3 linked regions of the Arabidopsis thaliana genome follow. The protein of the gene in region 1 interacts with the protein of each later gene in a pairwise test. Each region holds a gene or a part of one and is shown on either strand. Other genes may lie near its edges.

Region 1 (5,928 bases):
CAACTTGTCAAATTAATTATTGACCCCATCAAACATCGAACATGCTTCTGCCTGATCCAAGAAATGAAGACAAATATTAAGATACTGAAATTTAAAACATTTCAACGTAACTAATTGTACAATGTTTGTGTTTACACATACATTAGTACACATATTTTCTATATATATGCATGCATGTACGTTGGAACGATACTTTCCTAAAACTTCGATTTGTTCGTTTTGGGATTCAACATCTTCTCCATGTGCTTCCCCATTTATCAATATTTACATTCTCAGTTTTCTTTATTTTATCTATATATTTTATTCTTAAACTTTTTTTTAACGTTAAACATCAAATTAAATAAGGACTGCTTAGAATAGCTCCATTATAACCAGTAAACACCATTAATCCAAAAGGGCCCTATATGTTATTATACTATATCTATTATGTCATCGATATATATATATATATATATCTATATTTTATTGCATATATATGTCTTTTACCTTCAAGTTTTACACATGTGCAATCTCTTGACAATAATAAATTACTTGTAGCTCATTTCTGAAAGTGATAAAGGATACAACGTAATTCCATATTTCTAGTGGTTTTTCATTTTTCATTATAGAGAGGATATTTGTGTATAATTATGATAACCTTGTTAATAAATTTAGTTGGTATAAAAGTTAATATTCCTAATTAATTTAATGGGAAATTAAATGATAAACAAAGGTAATGAAATGAAGAGACCCATGAATATGCACATGGCATTGCTCCCTCTCTTCCCTATGGGTCCTATTTCTCTATTTTATTTCCTCCAACCAAAGCCAATTATCACTTTAAGTACCAACAAATCAATATACCAACAAAGTGAATTTTCCCCATTTTTGTAATTATATTCATCTGATATAACATATGTATATTGTAATATTGTAATTCTAATTATACCGACTTCGAAATTATACTTGGGGAAAGTTTACTTTAGGGTCAAATACTCGATCGCTATGATCTTTAGTTTCACTTTCAAGACGAACCAAAAGAATACTGTTCTGCCTTTAGAAAATAACTGACTATTAAGAGACTGAAATTAAAGAGAAGTAATGTGAGATTAAATTTTCCATAGTGGAATAAAAATCACATATTCCTTATACGAATATACACATCTTTGGCAAAATAAATAAATAAAGACAAACATATACATAGGAATAGGATGTTCAAATTATTACACATTTTCCATTACAAATGTCTCAAATATTTAACTTAAGTTCATTACACATAATAGCATACAAACTATATCTACATACCAAATCCAGATCAAAACACAGACAATCAAAAGAAACTGAACAATGTATTTCATCGTAAGAAAAAAAAGAGCAATTAACACCAATCAATGTGTTAATCAAATATATAATCGATACCACTTATCCTTTTAATTTGACTTCAAGCTCTGCTCTTGCACTTCTCCATCGCCCTCGGAGCTGAAATATTTTTACAATTAATAAGCAAAGACATTTGACCACGGTATTTATTCTGTTAAAAGAGTATATTTTTTATTCCCTCTGTTATTTAATCTCTTTCTTTTTTTGCATTTGACAAAAGAGAATCAAATATCATGTATTATATCAATGATTTAAAAGATCAAAGCGATAAGTTTTCTTTCGACAAATTTGTTCTTTACGGTAGAAATATAATTGTGCGAAAAATAATGAACGGTTTAAGCGTTTGATGATTAGACATCATCTTAAACGATAGCATATTAAATTATTTAGGCGACCAAGTTATGCGGTTGAGGTGTACATTATAGTAAACTTTTAAGCTCTTTTGTAAGTTTTTTTTTTCTTTTTGGGGCAAATCTCTTTTGTAAGCTATTTTAACTATATTGTATACATATACACGTAAATTTTAATTTAAATGGGTAACAAACTGAAATCAAAATTTAATCAATGTGAATATAATATGCATTGGTAGAAAATACATACCGAGACCAATGGCATCCGATCCTTTCATGAGACGTAAACGCTTGCATGTATCGACGAACATTCTAATAAATAAAAAGATTAAAACAAATGGTTATTTATTAGAAACAAATAAATGACATAAACAAAAATAAAGCTCGAATTTTAACCGAAACAATAAAGCTCTAATTAAATGGTAATTAATAAGGGAGAAGAAGAAGACGTACGGCCAAGGAACGTCGCCGACGAGCATCCAATCACCGTCTTTGTCTTCATAAGAGGGAACATAGTCCCAGCTATTCACCAAATCCATCAATTTCCTCTCATTCATGAAGTCTATCATTCCTTCTTCTCCTCCATGTTTGCCTAAAATAATCTTAGGTATAAGAACTTGATATCCTGAATTTAAACTTGGTGGTTTTCTTTTATGGTGCAACAAATGAAATATACATTTTTCGCAATTGGATTTTATCACATAGTTTTCTTTTCACAGTTTCTAAACTACTACTAACGGGTTACTCAATTATGAAATATTTGTATACTCGATAACGGTAATTCATTTGGGACTGATCTATCATCATGATGATTAATTTTTCTTTCTATAGTAACAATTAATTAGTAACTAAATGTGCATGGAAGGATCTACATATATATATAAGGAATATACTTATAAAACGTACCCATGGTAAAAGAGCTGAACATGTTGGACAAAGCATTAGAAAGCTCATCGTAGCTTTTATACATCCTCAAATCGATTTTCCTCAAGTACGGTGCTCCGTCCATTGATACCTTCACGAACGCCGCCGCCTCCGGGCCACCGCTTGATTTTTGGCAGGAAACCATCACGTTCTTCCGGTATGATCTCACCGGTGGCCATCCCACAACTTGTGCCCTATATTTTTTTTAAAACGGAAAAACGGTTATGTTATACAAGATATAGACTGTAGTTAGCTTTGACGTGATGTCACATAAATTTTACTTGCATGAGACTATGGGTTAAACATAATTAAATATATTAAGACATTGGACGATTTAAGAAGAGAAAAAAACCGTAGACATATGATAAAATGGTTTTGGCGAAGAAAAATATATATCTTTAATGAAATTTCTGTTTTTTTTTGCAGTCACCTTTACAAAAATGTTAATATTAAGAGCAGTAGAGAAGAGTGGAAAATAAATCATAAAGGACAAAATAGTAAAATTACTTGGCCGGAGGTTTGGCTGGATCTTTAGGACAAGCACTCTTCTCCTTGGAATCAAAAGTCACGACGTCATGAGTCGTAGATCCTTCCTTGTTTGCAGGCTCATTATTCAGATTTAGCTTCAGATCAACCGTCTCTGAGAACCCTCTCTTGTTTCCGGTTACCGGAGCCACTGTATCTCCACCGGGAAGACCAAGACACAGCTCAGTCTCCCTCAGATTCAGCTCGACACTGCCCATCATTATTAACCTTTCTTCTTCTTTGGTGTTCTTCTTCTTGGGAAGGTGATGAGGAAGATGGAAAAATGGTTTTATAAAAACACTCAAATAATACAAAGTGAGATGAGTCTGTATTATATCTCTGTCTAGGAGGTAGCTGCATGTGTATGTCGTATTTAAGAGATCTTTGATTAAACGGGTTTTAGACACGTGGATGAATCTAAGCCCTTTGATTAAGTCATCATCCTCGAGTTTTAGTCTTTTAGACTAATCAGTAATCACTGTTATTACTCTATTACTGTTATTGAATCTTTCTTATGATTTATCTTGTAGATTATGTATATATTATTGCATTTGACTATACAAAATGGATATATATTTTAATCCGTCTTTAATCGTTTTTCTCCCGTTAAAAGAGATATATAACATTTTGAGATTACAAGCGAAAGCACAAGTGAAGGAAAGATTTTAAAATTACAAGTGAATTATGAAACACATTCGAAGCAACCAAGTGAATTAAGTGGTGATGAACCGATTAATTGATATGGGGTATCTAACTAAATATATGTATATACCATATGGTCTTAAAAACTATATCAACGTATAGTTTATAAATATATATTCTTTTGAGTGGCGAGGTCGCAGACATCTCATATGAGAGTGTTACAATAGAGATGTACATTATTATTAATATAACTATATTATGCTTTTTGACTTCTAAATATAATTATTAACTAATGAATATATATTCATGATTTTGATTATTTTTCCCCGTAAGATTCTTCGCCGGAACCTTCCAATTATGCATATCACATCCACATGATTCAATTATTCATCCCACAATAAAAGCGCAGCCCTCTTGTATATAATTATTCTCATGCCAATACAAAATAAAGCATACGGTACATCTTCAATATTTATTGATTAAAAACTCACCTATAAACACGTACAGCGAAATGTGTATCTAGACACATAAAAACGCATCATTACTCTTTAATGTTTATACTTTGTAGTTAACAAACTATAAATTGCAATATTATAAACACCACTTTGTAGTTAACAATAAAATTGGTGATTAATTTTCTTTACAGATATTTACAGATTAAATTGACTACTAAAATATAATGTCTGTTTTTGATTATTGAAAATTATTTTTCTTCTTTTATATTGCTTGTGTTATTCTTGTAGTATGAAAGTTTTCAACAATAGGGTAGTTTTTTTTTTTTTTTGTAGTTATGAAAGCACCTAAATTTGTATTACATTTTCTATTAATTTGTCTATATTATCGCATTTCTAAACAAAAAAACAAATTCTGTCGCACTTCCAAAACATATTTTGTTTTTATTTCATCAATCACGCTTCCAAAAACAAAAATGATATGTTTTGGAATTGTATTTTCACGGCGCTTTTGCGAATTTTCAAACTTTCGTTCAAAATTCGACTTTAGTGATCTACTAGACACTGGTTTTAGTTCAAAGTAATCAGTTAGGCGTAAACTGTGAATACGGGACGTTTAAATAACACCAAGCGTACTAACCATAATTAACCAACGTAAATTCAATAAATATGAAAATAAAGAGGGAAAAAGGCATATTCCTACCCTAATAAAATCTATGAGAGGGGACATGAGTGGCATCAAAATCCAAAGGAAGAGAGGGTACAATTAACATCACCATAAATTCCAAAGCCAAAATTTAAATTAATGAGAAGAAGAAAAACATGGAGATGATAAAGGGACAAGTTACATCAAATAAAATTCAGGGGCGAAAACATCTTAAACCCTACTTTTGTTCCTTGCCTTGTCTACATCCTCCTCTTTAACCCTTTTCTCTCCTTTTGTTTCTATCCCAAAAAACTCTCATGAGTTTTCAAATCAACGTACCCCAAATTTTTCAATCGAATTTTGGGTCACTTTGTCTTATATATCACATCATTTTGTCGTGTTTTATCAATGTGTATCTACTTTGTCTGATCAATATATATATCTACTGATCACTATGGAATTCACATGAAATTGTAAACCAGTGAATAATATAAATTCTCGGTCCAGCCTACATGATTACAAAAAAATGCGCCCGCACACATAAATGGATTGTATGCGAAACTTTAATGAGATTGAACCAATGCAACCAAATCCATATATCATCAGTATTCTCAAGGATACATATGGAGACCACATTTTCTTTGTCACACGATAGAGACCATCTTAATTTGATGTGTAATTTTGGTAATGCTTTTTCACTTGATTATATATATTTTTCATTTTTTGGGAAAATTATATATAGGTCTAATCATGTATTTTATATGCATGGTGTCGAAATTAATGAGTTATTTTCAAAGGTATATATGTGTGTTAATTATGAACTTGCAAGATAAGAACGTGTGAGGACCAGGTGTACTTTCATGTGGACAATACAAGGCCACAACTCTCAACATTCTACCACACAGAAAAATAAATCAATAGTACTGGTTCATTTGTGTCCATCTTCAATTTTTTTTTTATAGTTTTCTCATTTACATTAGTTGTTGGAATATACTTCTCGCATTTAAGGAATGCAGCCAAATGACATGCA
Region 2 (4,998 bases), about 25 Mb from region 1:
TAAGAAACATGGTGGAATGGCAGAATTGAGAACCCAAAAAAAAAAGCAGAATGGAATGATAAATGATTATAATGGAAATATGAATATTTTTTACTAGTTGTACAAAACTATTGTATATTTAAAAAGTGAACAAGTTATTGAAATTCCTTATAAAATTCAAATAGTTGTAGAATCCGTATCAGTTGGAGGGAAGTCACGATTTATTGATCTCCAGCCCCTAGTCACGATTTATCCAGTTTTATTCAAAACAAAGAAACAAAATTACGTAAGAATTCGTCTTGCTTGTATAGACCCAAGATTATCCTCCCTACAAATCAAGTTAAAAAAAAAAAAAAAAAAAACCCGAAAGACCCTAGACACAATGCAAATGTCACAATTTTTATCGACCTGAAATTCTATAACATATAAAATCAAAACATAATACAAATTTAATCGTCCACTTTCCTATAATCTAGGAAGACTTATTCAACAAGGACTTAGTCAACAAGGACTTATTATAAAAATCAGAACATGACCTTTTTATTCTCCATGAACCCGATTATTAAACTGGTTTTGAATTTTCTAAAGAAATTCCGGTTCGAGTCAATTACCGTAAGATATGTGAAGGAAAAAAAAAAAGATACTATAATCTAAATTGGCCGACAAAAAATAAAAAATCTAAATTAATGATTTGATTATGGTTAGTGGTTACTATTCTATTAAGCAAGATTCAGAGGCGGCCACGTTAGATTTATTTTAATAAATTGCCATGCAAAAAGATAGATTTGGTATTCAATTCTGTGAATGGTTAGTTGGTCGATTCATGGACCTTTGTTTTAAGCAAGCGTTACCATAAATAAATCACTTCTAATTGTCACACCAAATATCTACATCACCATTCACGCACGTTATTCTCAATTCATCTTAGATTCTCTTATCTACCTTTGTATTTTACTATTTACGAAGGTGATGAATTATAACCTTTGCCATCAGATTCATCACGAAGATCTGTCTAAATTAGACACCAAAAACAAGAAGATATTTTAGTAAATATCCAAAGTTAGAAAAACAAAGAGTCTTCACTTATCTCGTGTATATACTACATAGTAGCATTCGTCTACTTTATTCAAAATTTCCAACCGAGGAAATAACATTTCTTGGTTACAAACAAAAACGGACGAAAATATTTCTTACATTCACATAAACATTTTCAAACCTACACCAAAATCAACATCAGGAGATGATTATAGTATGACTATCAGATTATGACACAGGAGTAGAAGTATTTGTATTTGTAGAGGAAGATGCCGCCGGCGAGTTGCAACTTCTCTCCAACGAACGTTTTGGAGATTGCGCCACCGCAACCGGAGCATATACACCACCCTTGTTGGCTACATCGGACGGTGGTGGAAAATCTTGTGACGATGGTACCCATATGCCTCCAACCACCACAAATTGTGGTTGTTGCTGATTCCCGGTACTTTGTGCCGCCACGGATGTTGCTGCTGGCCTTCTTGTGTGAAGTCTATATTTCTGAAATATTACACAAAAAATGGTTAAGAACTTGAGTAACATTTCATTTAATTACCAATTTCACGAACTTGTGATTATAACATAAGAATCATTAATCACTAACCTGTAAATGGCTTTTAACTTCGTCGTTTGTTAATCCATCAACCTTCATGTGATCCCTGATTTGCTTTGGTGTAGCAACTGCAAGATTGGCAAATAAAATGTCAAATAAAAATCATTTTTTAATGTTGATAATAATCTTTGTTACTTACTAATATAATGTAAATGTTGAGACGTTTTAATGTTTAAAAACAGTTCTTTATCAACCCGATTATGAATCACTAATGAACCAATCAGATAGAAGATAATCAGGTAATTAAAATTAATCGTAATTACCATGAGATCCTCCAAGCTGCTGAAGCGCGTTTAGGAATCGACGGTGTAATTCCGGCGACCAGCACCGCCTTTGTTTTCTATGCGTATGCGACTGCGATTGCTGCTGCTCTATCCGTCTTTCCTCATCTCCAGCTTTAATCAAATCACTTTTACCACCACAAGTTTCCGTCGTAGAACTCGTCGTCGTCGCTGGCATCGAACTAGCTACTTTCACCGCCGGTTGCAAATCAGTCTCCAAAACGCGCTTTTGAAACGGCTGAAACGCACCGCTTTTTGGTTTCACCTCCACCACTTTCGCTTTCTTAGCTACACGCTCCTATAATTCAATTAACACATGATTATTTCCTCATAATCGAAAACTAAAACTCCTTTAAAAAGCTCAAAACTTTAAATACCTCTTTTGGATTTAGATCCGGTGAATGATTCCATAGCTGAACAGATCTAAGCCAATCTGATTTCTTATTATTCACAAGTTCTGGAGAAGATTCATGTTCACCATCTTCTTCTTCTTCTTCTTGTACTTCTTCACACAAGGAACTAATTTTCTTGATAGGAATAAACTCTTCAAAGACAGGACCACCACAAACACTTGTGGTCTGTTCTGAACACTGTTCTGATGTAGTTGTCGTCGTACCAGATAACTCCTTCCGACAAGCTTCGATCGCTATACAGAAACAAAACATAACAAAACCCCATCAAGATTTGTAAGAGACTTGTTTAAAAATTGGAGATTTTGATTGGATTATTATTACCTTGAGTGACAAGCTCTAAACATAAAGGAAGCTCGCGTTGAAAGACTTGGATTTTCTTCTGTTCTTCTTCAAGTGCTTCAACGTATTCATGACATTTCTGCATTTTCTTAGCGTAATCCATCTCCACCATCATTATTATTCAAAAGGGACTAAGAACCAAGATCTATAGAGAGACGACAGCGAGAAAGAAGCTTAATCTCAATGGAGAAAGAATATTGGATCTTTAAAATAGAATCAAAACATAGAGAAATTGATTCCAATGTTTTGTTGATTTTTCAAGAGATAGAGAGAGAGAGAGAGAGAGAGAGGGTTTAGGTTTTTGGAACAAGAAAGAAGTGGAAGAGAATCGAGGTCGGGCCGTCGCGTACCTAAAACGAATCTTTGAGAGTTAAAATGTTTTTTTCTCTTTTGGAAGAGAAGGGTAAAATAGTAATATCGTGAAGATGATGGGTGAATATTCGGAGGATCAGATTCGATTATAGGTTCGCATCTCTTTGTATGGGCTGGAACTGACGTCACTATTCCAATCTCTTTAGCTTTTTTTTTTCAGATAAGAACGAAAACTCAACCATTTTTCTTCTCCCCTAATTAAGATTCCAGAGTTTTGTTTTCCAACGATTGTTTTATCCTTCATTTAACTTAACTATCATCTAATAGAAATGATTTTCTGTGTTTCTATATGGGCAAATCTATTCATTAAATGGAGATTTTATGATTTAGAATTTCAAATTTAAAGATTTGGTTTTTATTATGCGTCTTTTCCAAAAATCATAAAAATTGACGTTCACCTAACAAATATGCGTTTCATTAAATAAATTAAAATACTACTACTATCTCATAAGGAAAAATTATGTTTAAAACTTTCAATGACAATAAATCATATCATTAGTGATATCTTAATTCCAACTCCAAACGTTAATCATTCACAATTTATGTAACCTACCACTCGACTACGTTTTTACAGATATTTAGAACGAATATTAAAATTTGAATTGGAAATGAGCTAATTTGGTGAAGGAATATTCTAGGGGAGGAAAAAAAAAAAAAAAAATAGAAAGAAGAATCTTTTGGAAGGAAGTGTGAGAATCACATTTGCCCACGCCGCGTATTAATTATTTACATATCCGACCTTTCATATTCCTCAAGAGCCAATTTGCTAAATGTTCACGCGCATAGAGCGCGTACCCACGTGACCAAATATTCAATTGATGCAACCAGATTCTCTGCTTTTGTCATATTCATTTATCTTATTGGTTTCGTCGTTATCTTTTTAAGAAAAACAAACGGTTCTTTGGTGGTTCGATTCCTTGATAGGATGAGTTAATGCATATGAATATGATAATAGTATTTTTGTGTTTTTTAGATACAGCAAGATTTTGGACTAATTTCATTCACAATAATCACCATTAGGATCATCAAAATTTTATTTTATGGGTCTACTTATGTATGATTGATGAAACTATTTGAAGGTCGATTGAAATGATCAACTGTTTTCTTGTAGATGGAAAGTTACAACATGCTTATTGCTTTAATCATCATCATAATAGGCAAATATCAGATTCATTCCACATGTTCTTAATCAAATCTGTTTTAAGAAAAAACATCTAAATCTACACATAGAACTTTGTTGTCTCAATCTGATGGAGCTAATACATGTTTGGTCTTTATGTGGGAGGTGTGGGACATATAGATTTAAACGAGATTGGCTCCATCAATTCTTACCTTTATTATTAGCACATGATAAAATTTGTTTCCATGGGAAAAGAAAACAAACAATGTCTAAGTTGTAGTATTATGAATGTTTGAAGATGCAAGTAAGATCTCCAAGACTCCAACACATGTATTGGAGTTCTCTTCATAATAGCTATTGCATAGCCACAATTAAACAACAAAGTTAAGAGTGTCAATTAGAGCTAAAAAGAGACGGTTAATCAGTTAATGCAATAATTGTCAATTGGCAATGCACAAAAATAAAACATATGACTCTGAGTCCAAGGGAAACTACCAAGAACATGGAAGTTAAGAGTTTTTTCAATGGGAGTTTCTAAACAAAATTCTTGATATATAATAAAAATATTATATTGTTTAAATATTAGTTTGGTTTCTTAAATTTGAAGAAACTTAGTCCAATTGTTTCTTAACTAAGAGTCAATTGAACTAAGTTTCTTCAAATGTAAGAACCTCATCATTAAAATATATTATTTATCTATATTTACACTTGATTCTATTTTAAAAACTCACTAGATTTTAACCCGCGGTACACCGCAGAAATAATTTATTTTTTAAAGTTAGTATACATAAAAGTTTGCAAATTGTATCTATCTATAAAATATTTTTATTTTATAGTTTACAATTGTTA
Region 3 (4,915 bases), about 26 Mb from region 1:
GTTGGTCTTACTAAATTATTGCTTTCTAGTTTCATCTTTTGTGTCTTTATTCTCAAATAAATATCAAACCATGTCGACGATTCCTTAACACAATTTTTTCTGTATTATTCCAATTTAATTCATTCCCATTTGCCTACAAATTTGTGTCACACAACAGAAAATAAAAGGTAAACATCAAATTAAGGTCCATAATCTTATTTAGAGGAATACTCGGAAACATGTCCATATGAAGATCTTTTGTCAGTTCTCTTGCTCTCAGAACAAGGTGGAGTTTTCCTCTTATTCGAATGCGAATCATCATCAACATCATCATCAAAAAGGCTGAGATCCTCCACCCCAAGAAGCAAGGGTTTGCGATATTCCATAGTGAAAAAGGCTACAGAGTCACTTTTCACTGTAAACCTATATAGCTCCCATGTTGAACCATTGTTCATAGCAAAACGTGGTATAAATTTATCACGTACATAGTTCCTTCGATGCCGTTCTTTAACCAGTTTCCAAACCCCTTGGTCGGGCACGAACAGCGCGAGAAACAGCCATATGCTATGTTTCTCGCTACATGTCAAATTTGTAGGAAACATATCCGTGCGGAGCTATAGACAATAACTGACTGTTTTCTTGAAGGTTTGGTATCCCCGGACTTCCACGAAGCTCCGGATAACTAAGGCTTTCTAAGATTCTCCGCAATACTACGTCTTCAAGTGTATAAGTTTGCCATGTTGTGTGAAGTGCGTTCTTGATAAGCTTGTTGAAGATGGTCAGGTTGGCAGTACATAGCTCCTTGTGGGCGTCGTCGTCGACAGTCCCATAAGGAACACTTTTCATCAACAAACAAAGACAGAGAAAGATGATTGCCATTGTTAGCCATGTTTTAGTACCACCTATTCACGGACAACGTGAGTGCAGAGAAGGAAAGAGAGAGGGGATAGAGTTGGAAAAGATCACTAGGTTTCTGATTTCCATAAATACAATTTTTGTTTAAGGGCTTAAGATTATTCCTTTAACCCCGACGAATCGAATGGGCTTAAAAACATTTCTTTAACCAAAATCTTCTTCTGTATTATTCTCATTAGCATTATAATTCTTTACACAACAGAAAATAAATGAAAGGACAACAAATGATGGGTCAATCCAAAACTAGAAACCAAAAGAAGAGCAACTTCAATATGTAATCATAGGGTCTGGATCCGACGAGTCAGTGGGAGATTTGTTGTTGGACTGACGCATTGAGTTGAATAATTCATCTTTTATGACCTACAAGTACAACAATGATGGATTTTGAGTCTGTGAAATACACGAACCTTAAGGGAGATATGTCACCATTTCGTTTCAATATTATTACTCACCTGCGACATTAGTCCATGGACCTGTTCCACAGTTATCTTTGCGCTATCCCGAGTTATCTTAGTTAGTTGAGACTCATCCTGAAAGTGATTTAGAACACACGTCAAATGAGATCTTTAACAAGCAACACCCATTAACATTCTCGAAAGTTATATATCTGTACAACCTTCAACAACACTTTCATTTCAACTAAACAGAACACCTCCAGGTCCCAATAACCAAAACATTTGAAGATATATCCTCTTAGTAGCTAGATGTTTACAGAGGCACTTAACTAGCCACCGTAATCGCAATTAAAATTTGATGAACCACTAGGACATACCTCTTTTTTCTTATGAAGGGATGATGGCACAACTCCTCCAAAGCGAGACTGAACCAGATGACTCTCGGCTTGCTCAAGCTTCTCAGCTTCATTGGTAAAATTACGAAAACGATTATATAACACATTACTTGACTGTGACTTGAGAAAAAAAAGTAAGAGTGAATGATTTAGGCCATATCCAAGAGTTTACCTAAGTCTGATATTTGTCCAGCAACATAGTCTCCATTACCCAGCAGTGGAGAAGAAGAAAGAGTGTTCACCCAGTACTTGTTCCATAGTAGATCCAGAAGGTGAGAATCAAGAGATGACTTGAAATAAGTGACATCTAATGAATAGTACTGCCAAAACCAAAAGCCAAACATAAGAATCATGTTGGGACCTTGCACCGAGAAAAATCAAGAAAATGTACCTGTTTGCAGTGAACACCAAAGTCCTCAATCTTATTTAAAGGAATAGTTTGATACTCAGAAACAGGTTCATCTGGAGGCTTATATCCTTTAGAGTATGTTCTGAAAGCACCAATCTCAACCTTACCAGCTGAAACAGTCCTTGTGGGATCAATAACAACAGCTAAAAATGGCTCCTGATGCTGTTGGTTAAGCCTCTGCGTAGAAACATCAATACCGGAGAGCCAGCATCCATATCCAGGGTGAGAGTGATACCATCCAACAACATTCTCCAGCCGCCCCGCCTTATAAAGGTCAAGTTATTATAACCATAATCAATCAAACTGTTCTGACTTATATACAAACTTTCTAAAGAAAAAAATCAAAACTTTGAAGTTTCTTGAATCTCACTTACGAGCTTGTTGGTCTGTGAATACTCAACCATGTACTCATAAGCATCATCCTGAGCATTAACCCTTGTCTCAGTACCTTCCACTGGTAAAGCAAAAGCATCCATAACAATGATAGTATCACCATCGGTCTTACCTTGCATAAGACCCATTATTTCAATTGTACCACCAGAGCGAGCGTGAACCACCATCTTAAGAAGAGCGAGCGCTGAGATCTTGACTCGTTTAAAGTAGTGAGGATCATTCTCCCACGGTTTCTCTTGCTGGAACCTAGTCTGTGAAGTATCGTCGTAGTAGAAGATGTTGTCGGAGGTTGAATCAGGTGAGTCTACTGTTAGAATGCTGTTCTCTAGTTCCCATGTCTTCCTTGCTATCGTCGACGACGAACCCTCCATTCTTTTTCGAATTAGGAATTCAGTTGCAGAAATCTAGGGTTTCATACGGAATCGATGGAGTGTGATCGATCTGTCTGCTGAAGAATTGAAAACTGTGTCAAAAATGTTACTTCGGGGATTGACTTATATATAAGAAGAGAAAAGTGGTGAAAATTAATTCCTCTGGATTCTTCTCTAATTTAGAAATAAAATTTAAAATCCTTTTAGTTTGTTTTTTTTTTTTTTTTTTTGACGGTATTAAAATCTTTTAATTGAATAACACAAAATTTTAAAATCTATTAAACATGATTTACAAAGATATAAACTCCAATAACACTAAATTTTAAAATTGAATTTAAAATCATTAATTAAATAACAGTGTATTAGTGTTGGATTTCTTTCTATTAAAATCCATTAATAAATAACGTCCCCTTGTAAAACCGTAGATTTCTTCCCTCTTCTAAAATAATTTATTGAATTACTTCAGCTTTTCTATCAGAGTGTCAGACCCTTTGCTAAAAGAACACGTATTGCTTTTTATACAGACACTGACACGTCAGTTTTCCGGTTCGGTTTTTTTACTGGTTTGTCGGTTTGGTTTGATTTGAGATTTTGGACGGACGAGTTTACAAATACGTTATGAGTGACTATGTTTGTAATTGATTCAAAATCATATTATACTGATATTCTTATTCTCCTGCAATCTGTTGACTTTATCTTCTGTCTAATTTATGTGAGAGATGTCTAAGAAACTGTAGCTACAAAACTAGAAACCTTATCTAGCAAATGCAAAATAGCCATGATTGTCTAATTTATCTTCTCCTCTTTTGAAACTTCAGGAGCATTGAATTTACAGTTCTGCTTTAGATTCCAAGTCTTGTTCTGTATCTTCAGAGATGTCATTTGATGGAAGAGGATTAGGCTTGTCTGTAGCAGGAGCAGCTACTGGCTCGTTGAGTTCCACATCTTCACCCAAGATTTTTGCTGTGAATTTTCGTGCTTCGAGATCAAGATCGGGCCATTCGGTTACGATTCTTCGGGCACCCTGCAGAAGAACACCGCATTATAACAAACAACGCTTTGTGAGTGTTGTAGATATGAGGAAAGCCATCATTTTACCTGAAGCTTTGGTTCCTTTGTCATGGGATTATTGCAAAGATCGATTGTTCTGGCCTTGGCTTTTGTGGCGTTTCCACACCAGGATTCACACCACAACCACTCTTGGGGAAGTGAAAATATAGGAACAGTATGCTGAGCATAATTAGGAAGATCCTGAAACAAAATAATGACATGCCATCAATATGTTTGAACCTGGAACTCTAAAGATTCAGAGCATGGTGTATGGTAAGAGTCAAATGCAAAAGCCTTTCAAATAAAGTAAAACGATAGTGTGACCACCAAAGAAAGGTTACAGCCCTAAGTATAGAGAACCATATTATACAACTTGCCTGATCTAGGTTGGACAAACTGTTTGGATCCTTGCTAAGCGTCTCATAGAATACTCTTAGATTATCTCCTGCCGCTGTCTCTCGGAACTTAACCAAGTCAACAACGTATAGAGCACTACAGATAGAACAAGGCACATTAAGAATGGGAAAAGCAACAACTTACTGAGGTTCAAGTAGGTTTTTTTACCTGATATGGTATGGCCTACCACGTAAATGTTCTTTCCAGAAACCCTGTTCAAAGCAATTGAGAATGTAAGAGTATGGAAACCAAAACTACCTCTACAAGCAAAACAAAAAGATTAATGTTTACCTGTTTCCAAAATTTATAGCCATCCATTTCCCTGTTGTTGTCACAAAAAGGAGTATACGCGAGAGGTCTTCCTTTAATATCCATATCATACAGTTCTCCCATGTCTGTCCTTATAATTTGATCTGCGTCGACAAATATAACCTACAGAACACATGTCGAATACCTTATAGTGACATCTTCCAAGCATCAAAATCGCAAGAAAGAAATGAAAATATGATCATCTGTACCTTTTCCAATGAGAGAGGAAATATGACATCAAGGAAAAGAATTTTGTAGGCCCAAATAATTCGTTGCTTTTCTTTCTGTTTATGCAACCAGGAC

What was found.
Region 2: the proteins of AXR3 (region 1) and AT1G68670 interact in binary tests that used the Arabidopsis thaliana proteins (3 or more experiments, as listed by UniProt).
Region 3: the proteins of AXR3 (region 1) and CSN5B interact in binary tests that used the Arabidopsis thaliana proteins (3 or more experiments, as listed by UniProt).

Annotation. Positions count from the first base shown.
Region 1 is NC_003070.9:1,133,833-1,139,760, reverse strand, and holds AXR3 (AUX/IAA transcriptional regulator family protein), read right to left. Parts: upstream 3,684-5,928; 5' UTR 3,380-3,683; coding exon 3,141-3,379; intron 2,828-3,140; coding exon 2,616-2,827; intron 2,302-2,615; coding exon 2,163-2,301; intron 2,022-2,162; coding exon 1,960-2,021; intron 1,459-1,959; coding exon 1,421-1,458; 3' UTR 1,098-1,420; downstream 1-1,097. UniProt on the Arabidopsis thaliana protein: Aux/IAA proteins are short-lived transcriptional factors that function as repressors of early auxin response genes at low auxin concentrations.
Region 2 is NC_003070.9:25,780,118-25,785,115, reverse strand, and holds AT1G68670 (myb-like transcription factor family protein), read right to left. Parts: upstream 3,316-4,998; 5' UTR 2,773-3,315; coding exon 2,640-2,772; intron 2,552-2,639; coding exon 2,283-2,551; intron 2,204-2,282; coding exon 1,888-2,203; intron 1,693-1,887; coding exon 1,616-1,692; intron 1,513-1,615; coding exon 1,243-1,512; 3' UTR 998-1,242; downstream 1-997. UniProt on the Arabidopsis thaliana protein: Probable transcription factor involved in phosphate homeostasis.
Region 3 is NC_003070.9:26,850,502-26,855,416, reverse strand, and holds CSN5B (COP9-signalosome 5B), read right to left. Parts: upstream 3,012-4,915; 5' UTR 2,858-3,011; coding exon 2,468-2,857; intron 2,358-2,467; coding exon 2,076-2,357; intron 2,005-2,075; coding exon 1,857-2,004; intron 1,753-1,856; coding exon 1,667-1,752; intron 1,425-1,666; coding exon 1,347-1,424; intron 1,255-1,346; coding exon 1,162-1,254; 3' UTR 998-1,161; downstream 1-997. Other genes in the region: AT1G71235 (uncharacterized protein), read right to left, coding at 195-394, 612-858; EBS1 (EMS-MUTAGENIZED BRI1 SUPPRESSOR 1), read right to left, coding at 3,687-3,881, 3,956-4,108, 4,285-4,399, 4,472-4,515, 4,595-4,735, 4,822-4,915. UniProt on the Arabidopsis thaliana protein: Probable protease subunit of the COP9 signalosome complex (CSN), a complex involved in various cellular and developmental processes such as photomorphogenesis and auxin and jasmonate responses.